Bombyx mori: one gene and its partners. The protein of the gene in region 2 interacts with the protein of the main gene of each other region in a biochemical or structural test. Links are inferred from orthologs where the notes say so. Each region holds a gene or a part of one and is shown on either strand. Other genes may lie near its edges.

Region 1 (4,157 bases), on a different chromosome or scaffold from region 2:
TGCTAGAGATGGTAATATAAACATTTCTACTGGTTCTGGATACGGATTGCACAAAAATGCCGCAGTAAACTCTGTTGTTACTGTATCTCTGAAACAAAATAAATACTTGTCAATATTGAACCCTCGGATTTTAATATAGAGTGCTAAAACCAAAACTGTTCTATGGCAAAGTTTTTACAAATACAATACCTTCCAATAAAGTAAACATACAACTTTTTCCTGTAATCATCATTGTTTTTGCATCTTGTAAAACATAACAAAACAGAAGGTCAAAGGGGAATATTATTTCATTGCTTATCTTCTTTGGCTCTTATGTAAAATACTGTGTAGGTATATAAAAAATATCTTCTGTATAATTACCTTGAAAAGAACTTACTACGAATAAAATTTGCAAAGCTGTATAAGATATAGAGATAATATATATTTATGATTTATGATATGATATATATTTATGTTGCCCTGGAAGATACACAAGCATATGGCTCACCTGATTAGTCATAGTCATGAGGAGTACCAGGGAAACAGCCAAAATGCTACTTATCATTATTTCAGTTAAAATTAATATTATAAAATAAATAATAAGCAACTTACTCATACTGAGGAATGTTCACTCGCAGGATCAGTGACAGAGGGCGCTGAATTAACTCTAAAAGTGCTCCGCTTAATGGGGTGGGTGGGTTTGGTGATGGACCATACATTGGTGGGGTCTTTTCACATATTAATTTACACAGATCCATGAAATAGCCTGAAAAATTATAAAAAAGTACAAGATCAAAGATCATGTTTTTTTTTTAACTTTTACTGAAGTCTTTATTGCTATCATCTTCATCACAATATTTATTGAGTTTTAACAACAAATGAAAGCTGATTATTTTAAGAAAGAAAATTTAGGTAATTTAGTGTCAGAAAACTATGTTAATGAATTATTAATATCTCTTTCTTATAAAACTTGTTGAAACTGTTGAATGTTAATTTGAGTTGTTATGCCAACAATAGCATGATGTGTATAAACATACCTCTTTTAATTAAATACAAGAATGTATTGGCAACAAATCTCAGTGCCTCATCACAGTTCATTGCTGCTTCTACTGTACTAGTGGATGTGAATACTTCAAACATTCTGAGTGGAACTGCTAAAGGCACCTGGAACATTGATTTTTTAAATACCATCTATACTAAGGGTTCCCAAACTTATTTTGTGTACTGCCCACTTTGAGAATAAATTATTTTTTAGTGCCCCCATTTTTTCACCTACTCAAAAACCACTATAGCGAGAGCTCAGTAGGTGTCTAAGAGTCCTCCTAGATGAAGTTACAAATCGCCTCCCAAGCTTCTACACAGTGCCCCCAATTTTTTTTTCTGGGTCCCTTACTGTCCCCCTTTAGGCCTGCAGCGCCCACAAGGGGGCATTATCACTCACTTTGGGAAAGGTTTTTTTTTCCTACCTAAGCTGAGAGGCTATTTCAGCAGTGAGAGGCTATTTCAGCGGATGGGAAAGGCTGATCTATAGCATCTATAGAATTTTTACAAAATTATTTTAACACATTATTGAAGACCAGTTGTGGTTGAGGCTTTTGCTCAGCAAAGGCAGGTTTAGCCACAGTCTCTATATTAAAATTCATAAGGATATGAAAAGGTACACATAGTGACTACAAAAGAGAAAGCCATCAATAGTCAAAAGGCTATTGCTTAACATTGGTAATAAAAACGCTGATTAACAGGCTAGCATTTGAAAATGTGTTAAATCTAAAATGGTTTTTCCGTTCAATTAGTAGACTGTTTCAATATTGTGAAACCCTAATAGCCTCTGATTATAATTGTTTTTACTGAAATTCAGCATTGTATATTGTATTTTAGAGTTCAGAAATATCAGTATAAAATTAACATTTTCAATGTTTTTTTTAATCGTAAAATTTAATTATATCACATTATAATTATATGTTGGGCTAGAATTGTTGCTCACCTCTGTGTTATACTTCAATAGTCGCAAATGTAATGCTAGTAATCTTCTTATCTGTATACTAGAGCCACTGTTGTGGAAGACCTTTTTCCATTGTTTTAACAACAATTGTGATATTGATACCTATATGAAACAAATTTAAGAATGTACAGTAACATCTACAATACTAGTTAATATTCTGATACTAGTTAAGATTCTGAAAGAACAGACTGCTAGTATATTTTGTCAATTTTATAATTTTTTTTAATAAAAATTTAGAACTTCAAACTTACCAATCTAGAAACATCAGCTTTGTCATCATAGAAGAAAAATATTTTTGCTAACAGTGCTGAGATTGTTGTTTGATCTTCTACATTAATTCTAGGAAACATATCATCAAATTGGTCCCTTTCTACTTGTTTACATTTTTTTCTGGTTAAGTAGCTTCTAAAATATGCTTGAATTTTTATAACACTGTTTAAACGTTTTCGGTGTTCCTAAAAATATAGTTGAATGATAATTATATCACCGAATCTACTTTGTACAGGGTGGTGTGGTGAACTATTAGTACAGGTTATTTACCTCTCGTTTTTGTCTTTGTAACTGTGTTTGTTGAATCAAAGAGTCTCTATCGGTCTTTCGTGCCGCGCTTGCACCTGCTAAATTTTGTTGGGGTTTTCGCCTAAAGTCTCCCTCGAATGAATACATGATGTTAAGAAATTTTCATAAATTCTGAAACAAATATACGCCGTGTAAACAACGATCAGCTGAAACTGAGAAGATTCAAATTCATGACAAACACAATTTACCAACCTTAGTTTGCAGGTCAGTCAGTAAATATATTTTGTTTATTGGTGATGAATCGCACATACATAGCAATCACAAAGACCAAATATTTTCATTCAGCAATCTAACAGGCAAATATATAATGCCACTGAATTAGACATTTTGGTAATTTTGTGTTTTGTAATTTCAGAACTCACTTTGTTTGACAGCTGACTGACATTTATCGAATCATCTTTGATTAACATCGATGAAAATTTTAATCGATTCCTTCATTCTTATTTCGCGAGTATAAACGTCCATGATGCAAAAAAAGCTTTATTACTGCTCTGTGCTCTTCAGTATTACTTTAGGTTTAAAGTATTGATGTGTATAAATAATAGTGGCTTACTTATTAATTAGCATTTGTGAAAGTAAAGTACTGTTTGGATAAATGAAACAAAATTGTCGGATCGTATTTTTCAGATTCTCTCAAAAAGTCTCCTGAAAAGTGAAATTTCATCAAAATCTTTTTTAATCTTAAAAAAACTTTATTAAGATCAGATTTATTTAATACCATCATCAATTTGATTTCATAGACCTTTATTTTGATTTCATTTTGCTTGTTACGTTCCATTTTTAGAATAATAACACATATTTTCCAATTAACTCTTTGCATGTTCTCTTTCATAGATAATAATTATCTTTGCCTGTGAACTTTAAAACTATAAACAAGACAAAAATATTTTGTAGTATTTTGTACATAGCATAGATTATACACTGGTACATAGGTAGTTACATACCCAGTGTGACCAGATTTAGCAGAATTCTGCGGTTTTAGCAGAATTCTGCGGTTTTAGCAGAATTAGACCCCCAATTTAAGGTTTAGCAGATTGTGTTGCAGATTTGAAAATAAGGAATTTTTCGCCTGAATCTCATAAAAACTTCACAGAATTGTAGCAGGATTTGACATCTAACTGTGTTTCACATTTATTCATTCGGGTAGTTGCGCTAAAAATATTTGAGGAATTTTACCTTTGTTAAAACAATGTCAGGTTTTTCTTCCAACACTGCCAGCACTCAAGCACATTTTAGGGGAATCCCCGTTAAATGTTTAGCTTTGAAGTTCTGTGTAGTGTTCAATGAACACTGTTTACATATTTCCTAAATAGTCGTCGACCATTGTCTCTCAGTTGTGTAATACTCGTAATTTGCAATTTTTTGATCCACAAAACGGTGTATATAAAGTTGACCAGAACTGTTTCTAAATTTCCTAATTTGGTTAAAGAATCTAACATACAAGCAATTGACTCCGAATATCAGGAGGTTAAATTAGACAAAACAGTGGCCAAACTATTAGAATCTGGAGGGAGTTCTAATCCCACACCTATGAGTTTGAACACAGAAATGTTTTGGGTCACATTAAAATTTCAGGCTGATAGAACTAAGAAGTATC
Region 2 (3,660 bases):
GTTTGAAGAGTGGGGCAGGCGTTGTAACTATACTGAGACCTTAGAACTTGTATCTCAAGGTGGGTGGCGCATTTACGTTGTAGATGTCTATGGGCTCCAGTAACCACCTAACACCAGGTGGGCTGTGAGCTCGTCCACACATCTAAGCAATAAAAATAAAATAAAAAAAAGAAGCATAAGAGGTAATGTTTGGGCATATATAGAAAATAAGTTACCGGTATTATTACCGGTATCATGACTATTACTCTATGATTTTCAAGAATTAAAGAACTATAAGAAGTACTGAACCTTTCTACTGTATATTAATTACATCAGGATAAAAATGTTATATTCGTTTTATATTTAATTCTATTTTATAGGTATGCTCTCAGCGGCCGCGTCCCTTGGTATGATTCACTTGTGGGATGTAGACGGTGGTCTAACGCCTATCGACAAATACCTGTATACCGCCGACGAGCACATCAAGGCTGGTGCCCTACTGGCTTTAGGTCTCGTGAACTGCGGTGTCAGGAACGAGTGTGATCCAGCCTTAGCTCTGCTCTCCGATTATGTTCTGCATTCCAGTTCCAATCTCAGGATCGGAAGTGTTTTGGGTATGCTGACGATTATTTTTTTGTAGGATATTACATTTGTATAATTTAAGTAAAATAAATTCTGTCAATGCATATCCAATATTTACTGTGGCGATAACCATCAGAGAACACAAGATATTTGACAGATGCCTCAATCTCGCTTGCGACATTTTCAAGATAAGCTTGCGTATTACATTACAATTCTTACTTTGGTTCGCATATATATTCATTTATGAACTTAAGAATTTGGACAACTTGTATGCCTAAGAGTCAAAGTAATGCAAACTGTCTATTAAATTGTTTATATTTATTACCGTAATATTGTAAACAGGTCTAGGTATTGCATATGCGGGAACACAACGAGAAGATGTGCTGTCCCACTTGCTTCCCGTGCTCAACGACACGACCGCCCCGGCCGAGATCTGCGCACTCGCCGCCATCTCCTGCGGGCTCATCGCCGTTGGATCGTGCAATGGCGATGTATGTATCATGGACGTATTACATAAATAACAATGTTGCTAATCTAAATTAAAACATGATTACTGGTGGTAGAACCTCTTGTGAGTCCGCACGGGTAGGTACCACCACCCCGCCTATTTCTACCGTGAAGCAGTAATGCGTTTCGGTTTGAAGGGTGCGGCAGTCGTTGTAACTATACTGAGACCTTAGAACTTATATCTCAAGATGGATGGTGCGTTTACGTTGTAGATGTCTATGGGCTTCAGTAACCACTTAACACCAGGTCGGCTGTGACTTCGTCCACCCATCTAGGCAAAAAAAATATAAAATCTTTATTTAAATACGCTAAAATATAGCTATTAATATAATAAATAAATAAACCTAGTTTATTACAAAAATAATGAAAGTCTGGACTGGAAGTCTTATAATATAAATTTTAATAATCTTTCAAAAGTGGAAAAGACAAAAATATAATATTCTGTGTTGTTGACAGGTGTCTTGTGCAATCATTCAGCGATTGATTGACGATAACAAGGATTTGCACTCGTCTACTTACGCCAGGTTCCTGCATTTGGGACTCGGGCTGTGTTTCTTAGGTGAGTTGCGTTACTGCTTTCAAAATCGTAACATGCTATACATTTATGACATCAGAGAATTGTATCGACTTCAGAATAGCAGCATGTATATGCAAAGCCCAAAAAGTTTTAAAAACAATTATTCATAGTATAATTGTAGATGTTATATTAAATAGAATTACTAAAATTCACCCAAAGTAGTGTTATCCAAAGTGAACATATAAATGTTGTAAAGTAACAAACTAAATAAAAAATACAACTATAATATAACTTACTCACCGGGTGAGCTGAGAGTGAGGTTTTTTTTCCTACTTAAGCTTGAGAGGCTATATCAGCGTAGTAGGTGAGCTCACGGGGCCCAAACCTGTCGAAGCTGCTAACACTGGCCCTAGCAAGAGTCGTGCTTCGTAGAATCTACCACCGGATCGGAAACGCGACTCACTGAGAAGATTCGACGAGAAACTCAGTGGGCTGTGTCTATGGGTTAGTTTACTCGCCGAGCCCTTCGCCGCTAGTGACGGGTTCGACGGGAACGACGACCGGTGCTTGAGGTACCTAAAATCCGAAATGACGTGTTTTGGGCGACGTCGACTGTTTACCATTCGGTCCGAAAGTAAGGAATACTACTTCACTTACTATGAAGTTAGCCTTTGGTTCGGCCTCAGTGCGAGCACGAACTCAACAGTGATGTTTGTTCGCAGGCTGCAAGGAGCGCACGGAGGCGACGATGGCCGCGTTGGAAGTACTTCCGGAGCCGCAGCAGTCGCTCTGCCAGACCACGCTGTCCATGTGCGCGTACGCCGGCACCGGGGACGTGCTCGTGGTGCAACAGATGCTGCACATCTGCTCCAAGCACTACGAAACCGATGTTAGTAATGTTACACGCGCTGGGGTTCGGGATAAATAAATGCTCCACCAAAGTACAACTTGAACGGTAGGCAGCGGCTTGGCTCTGCCCGTGGCATTGCTGACGTCTATGAGCGACGGTAACCACTCACCATCAGGTGGGCCGTACGCCCGTCTGCCTATACGGCAATTAAAAAAAACTGTGTAGCACTTAGAACACTTAAAACACTGAAAGAATGAAAGAGAAAGATAGAAATCATTTATTCGCTAAGCACTTCACTAACACTTTAAAATTCTCAATTCACTTCTTTACTCATTGACTGCGTATCATTTCTGCAACGCTTTTATAGTCGATAGGACATCCCTAGAAACGTCGAGAACATTCCTCACAAGCCGAGTACCTTCGATGTGTGTTTCCGTTATCTGACAATAGATGGCGTTGTACTTCTCGAGCGTTCTAGGTGTTACTGATCCTTCTATATTCGTTCGGCTATTCGGCGATAGATGGCGTTACTCTTAGCGGCGTAACAGTAATAATAACCGAGGACATGCTACACACGGTCACAGTAATATGAGAACCAGAGACTGATATATACATATATGTATAGGTACATAATAACGGTAGACAGTGGCTTGCTTCTGCCGCTGGCATTTCTGAAGTCTATGGGCGACGGTAACCACTAACCATCAGTTGGGCCGTATGCATAGAAGGGCAATAAAGAAGAAAAAAACTATACAAACAGCAAACAAACTTGTTCATCTCACAAATGTGGGAATAGAACCCACCCACCATAATAATCAGGATTACTACTATACCACAGAGTCAGTTAAAATTATTCTTATTTTCTCAATAATGAACTGCAATTGATTCTATAGGCTACAAGCAGATGCAATGCAAGTTTTTACATCAATTTACAGTTAAAATCTTTGATGCAATTCGATTATTGCATTGCAAATTTAACTGGCGTTTGGAACTTCGCTGCAGACTTGTCTACCAATTTATTTGTATAATTATATCATTAATCATTGTATTTCTGTTCTTTATTCAATTACTCCGATTATATCTAATTATTTTATTTTTTGTAAGAATGAAGCGAGCTTACTATTGACTATTCAAATCGAAGCCGTAAAAAATGCAGCTTTTACGTAAGATTGTACCATTTTAACACGCGAGGCTGCAGAACTATCTTGGAACATTTATCACTTCT
Region 3 (3,030 bases), on a different chromosome or scaffold from region 2:
GGAGAATTTGCTAAATCTAGCCCTAGCAAGAGTAGTGCTTCGCAGAATCTACCACTGGATGGGGGTAGTCTCAACAAATGGCCATATTATTTAAACATCACTCAGCTCCATTTGTATTTAAATGCGCGCGCTTTTTTTTTTCGTATCTATGCTGATAGCCTTGAGAGGCTATATCAGCTTCGCCCTAACATGTAGGTGAGCTCACGGGGCTCAAACCGGAGTGTTGCTAGCACTGGCCCTAGCAAGAGCCGTGCTTCGCAGAATCTACCACCGAATCGGAAACGCGACCCACTGAGAAGATCTGGCGAGAAACTCAGTGGGCTAGTCTACAAACAGCAATAGCTATAAGTTTTGGTGGCAACCGGAGTGTCTGGTGTGAAGACAGCTGCTCACAAATAGATCAGATTCATTTAAATGCTCAGAATGTCCAAATTGTCCAAAAATTTCCAATAAGCCAATGCCTAGCCATTAGTGTAGCTTCCACTTCTTTTTTTATTGCTTTGATGGTTGGACGAGCTTACAGCCCACCTGGTGTTAAGTTGTTACTGGAGCCCATAGACATCTACAACGTAAATGCGCCACCCACCTTGAGATATAAGTTCTAAGGTTTCAAGTATAGTTACAACGGCTGCCAAACCCTTCAAACCGAAACGCATTAGTGCTTCACGGCAGAAATAGGCAGGGCGGTGGTACCTACCCGTGCGGACTCACAAGAGGTCCTACCACCAGTAATTACGCAAATTATAATTTTGCAAGTTTGATTTGTATTACACGATGTTATTCCTTCACCGTGGTGGTCAATCGTGAACATTTGTTAAGTACGTATTTCATTAGAAAAATTGGTACCCGCCTGCGGGATTCGAACACCGGTACATCGCTCGATACGAATGCACCGGACGTCTTATCTTTTAGGCCACGACGACCATAAAAGAGTCAACTTACGTTTACTGTCCATTGCCTAATTAATATCTTTGTTCTGTTATAGGTCAAACCTCTAGGCGTGATCTGGGGAAAATACCCCCAGTACAGTTCGAAAAACACAATAATGTTTGACGACATACGAAGGAACTTCATTATGAACCCAAAGAGTGGCCTCAAAATTAGGCCGTTCAGGCAAGCGCACCTCAACCGGGACAAGGACCGGGAGTTGCTCTACCTATCGACTTACCTCAAGGATATCGCACAGAATTGCGAGGATTTCGACCAGCTGAACCACAAGAAGTGGGAGAAATACAAGCCCGACAGGAAACTCCAGGCGGGCAGTAAAAGGAAAGCGGAAGATTCGCCCTCCAAGCCGAGGGAATGACGGTAGTTTGACGTTTTTTTTTAGTGTGGTTTTTACGTTCTAAGGTTGGGAGGTGATTTAGCCTGTATTTTTTTTTATTGGCGAACGTCCAAGTGGCAAATTGGCCAGTGGTTCGTTTAGTGTTTTATGAATATCATATGTACCGGGTGTAACGGAATCGTTCTCTACAAACGTCACCTTAAATTCGTGATACATGGCGAGCAAATGATATTAGTTTTTTTTTTTTAGTGCCAAGTATCATCCTCGAGCTGTCTTCGTTATGGGGAGAAGATTCTTTAGATCCGGTATTTTAAACTTTGCCTTTTATACCTCGATCGATACGACTTCATGAATAATAGCAATAGTTGAAACGGTAGCTTAGCGTTTCCTCAGAAGGGGCGGGGGATCCTGTCGTGTAGAGTACTTAGCCTTATCCTGCCGCGAACCAGTGATGCGTTCGGGTTTGAAGGACGCAACAGCTTTATTCAATGCAACTGAATTTTCGGCTTCATATCTTGAGCTGGATGGCGGAATTCAGGTTGTGATTTGTATAAGCTTCGGTGACCTCTAAGCCGTGAGCCATCTAACCAGCTACAGAAATAACAAGAAAGATTTTCCATTATCACAAAATACCTGTGATGAAATGACCTTCTCGCAATTTAAGCACAAAACAAAGTAATGATTGTTGTAAGTGTTAATTTTTCTACAAATTAACGGATCTCAAACAGCCTTGAAGGATTTGACGAGGAGCCCTTCTCACCAAACATCACGTTTCTAAACTATATATCATGTCTAATATAATCTATACTACCACTAATTCTATTCTAACTTACTATATATGTGTAATATAATCTATGCTAGTAAAAAATAATTGTAACTTCAACATTTTCTCATGCATTTTACTCAGATCATGCAACTTGACATGACAAACTAAAAAAAAAACCTGTCAAATATGTGTGTCAGTGTCACAAGTGTAGACATTTCTTAAACGAGAGAGACAAACTATATTCTGACATTTTCTTTTTCAATTCCAATGAAAGAACTGCCGTTTCTAATTTAGTATAATGCTATTCGAATGATATTAGACTTAAATAAGCATTTAATGCAATTGTATAATTTATAAACGAATAAAGATACTTTTTTTTTGTAATGCGTCATTTTATTTTTATTCCGCCTGCGAAACTGTACCAATCGCCATTGAAACCGCGGTAGGCAGCGGCTTGGCTCTGCCCCTGATATTGCTGAAGTCCATGGGCGACGGTAACCACTCACAGGTATGCTCGTCTCCCTACAAGGGCAATAAAAAAAAAACTGTTTTTTAGTGAATGGCATTCCAAGTTTATGCTTACACTGTGTGGGCTAACTTCGACAGATATAATAAATGTCGGTAATACTTACCTAATTATATTTTATGAAAGTTATGTTCCGCCTGTCACGAGGTGACTTCCCACGATATCCTTCGTCCAAAAACTTATAAGTACATTATAATTTGTCGTTTTGAACCTCACGCGCAAGGAAGCGTTTACATCTTACAGAAGTGGCGGGGAACAATCGCTCAATACCCACTAGCGTCAGGGCTAGAAAATAAGTGAATCGCAAAGTTTTACACGATTTTGTTGCTTTGTGTGCTTAGTGCGAGTTTTTTAACGTTCTCGATAGCGTAAAAGTTAACGTTGGAACAGCGCCCCTAGCGGCAAACGTAGGCCAACTCCATACAAAATTGAGTTAACTTTTACGCTATCGAG

Evidence for each region.
Region 1: the proteins of 26S proteasome non-ATPase regulatory subunit 2 (region 2) and ubiquitin-protein ligase E3C form a complex in vitro, tested with the Homo sapiens proteins (2 studies listed by BioGRID). The link is inferred for Bombyx mori from reciprocal best matches to the Homo sapiens genes PSMD2 and UBE3C.
Region 3: the proteins of 26S proteasome non-ATPase regulatory subunit 2 (region 2) and ubiquitin-like domain-containing CTD phosphatase 1 form a complex in vitro, tested with the Homo sapiens proteins (3 studies listed by BioGRID). The link is inferred for Bombyx mori from reciprocal best matches to the Homo sapiens genes PSMD2 and UBLCP1.

Annotation. Positions count from the first base shown.
Region 1 is NC_085111.1:13,504,839-13,508,995, forward strand, and holds the start of ubiquitin-protein ligase E3C, read right to left. Parts: upstream 2,952-4,157; 5' UTR 2,753-2,951; intron 2,672-2,752; 5' UTR 2,648-2,671; coding exon 2,522-2,647; intron 2,437-2,521; coding exon 2,233-2,436; intron 2,084-2,232; coding exon 1,964-2,083; intron 1,144-1,963; coding exon 1,017-1,143; intron 746-1,016; coding exon 592-745; intron 89-591; coding exon 1-88. UniProt on the Homo sapiens protein: E3 ubiquitin-protein ligase that specifically catalyzes 'Lys-29'- and 'Lys-48'-linked polyubiquitin chains.
Region 2 is NC_085114.1:10,684,222-10,687,881, reverse strand, and holds part of 26S proteasome non-ATPase regulatory subunit 2, read left to right. Parts: intron 1-359; coding exon 360-593; intron 594-903; coding exon 904-1,052; intron 1,053-1,524; coding exon 1,525-1,627; intron 1,628-2,307; coding exon 2,308-2,474; intron 2,475-3,660. UniProt on the Homo sapiens protein: Component of the 26S proteasome, a multiprotein complex involved in the ATP-dependent degradation of ubiquitinated proteins.
Region 3 is NC_085132.1:10,308,349-10,311,378, reverse strand, and holds the end of ubiquitin-like domain-containing CTD phosphatase 1, read left to right. Parts: intron 1-985; coding exon 986-1,306; 3' UTR 1,307-2,435; downstream 2,436-3,030. UniProt on the Homo sapiens protein: Dephosphorylates 26S nuclear proteasomes, thereby decreasing their proteolytic activity. Recruited to the 19S regulatory particle of the 26S proteasome through its interaction with 19S component PSMD2/RPN1.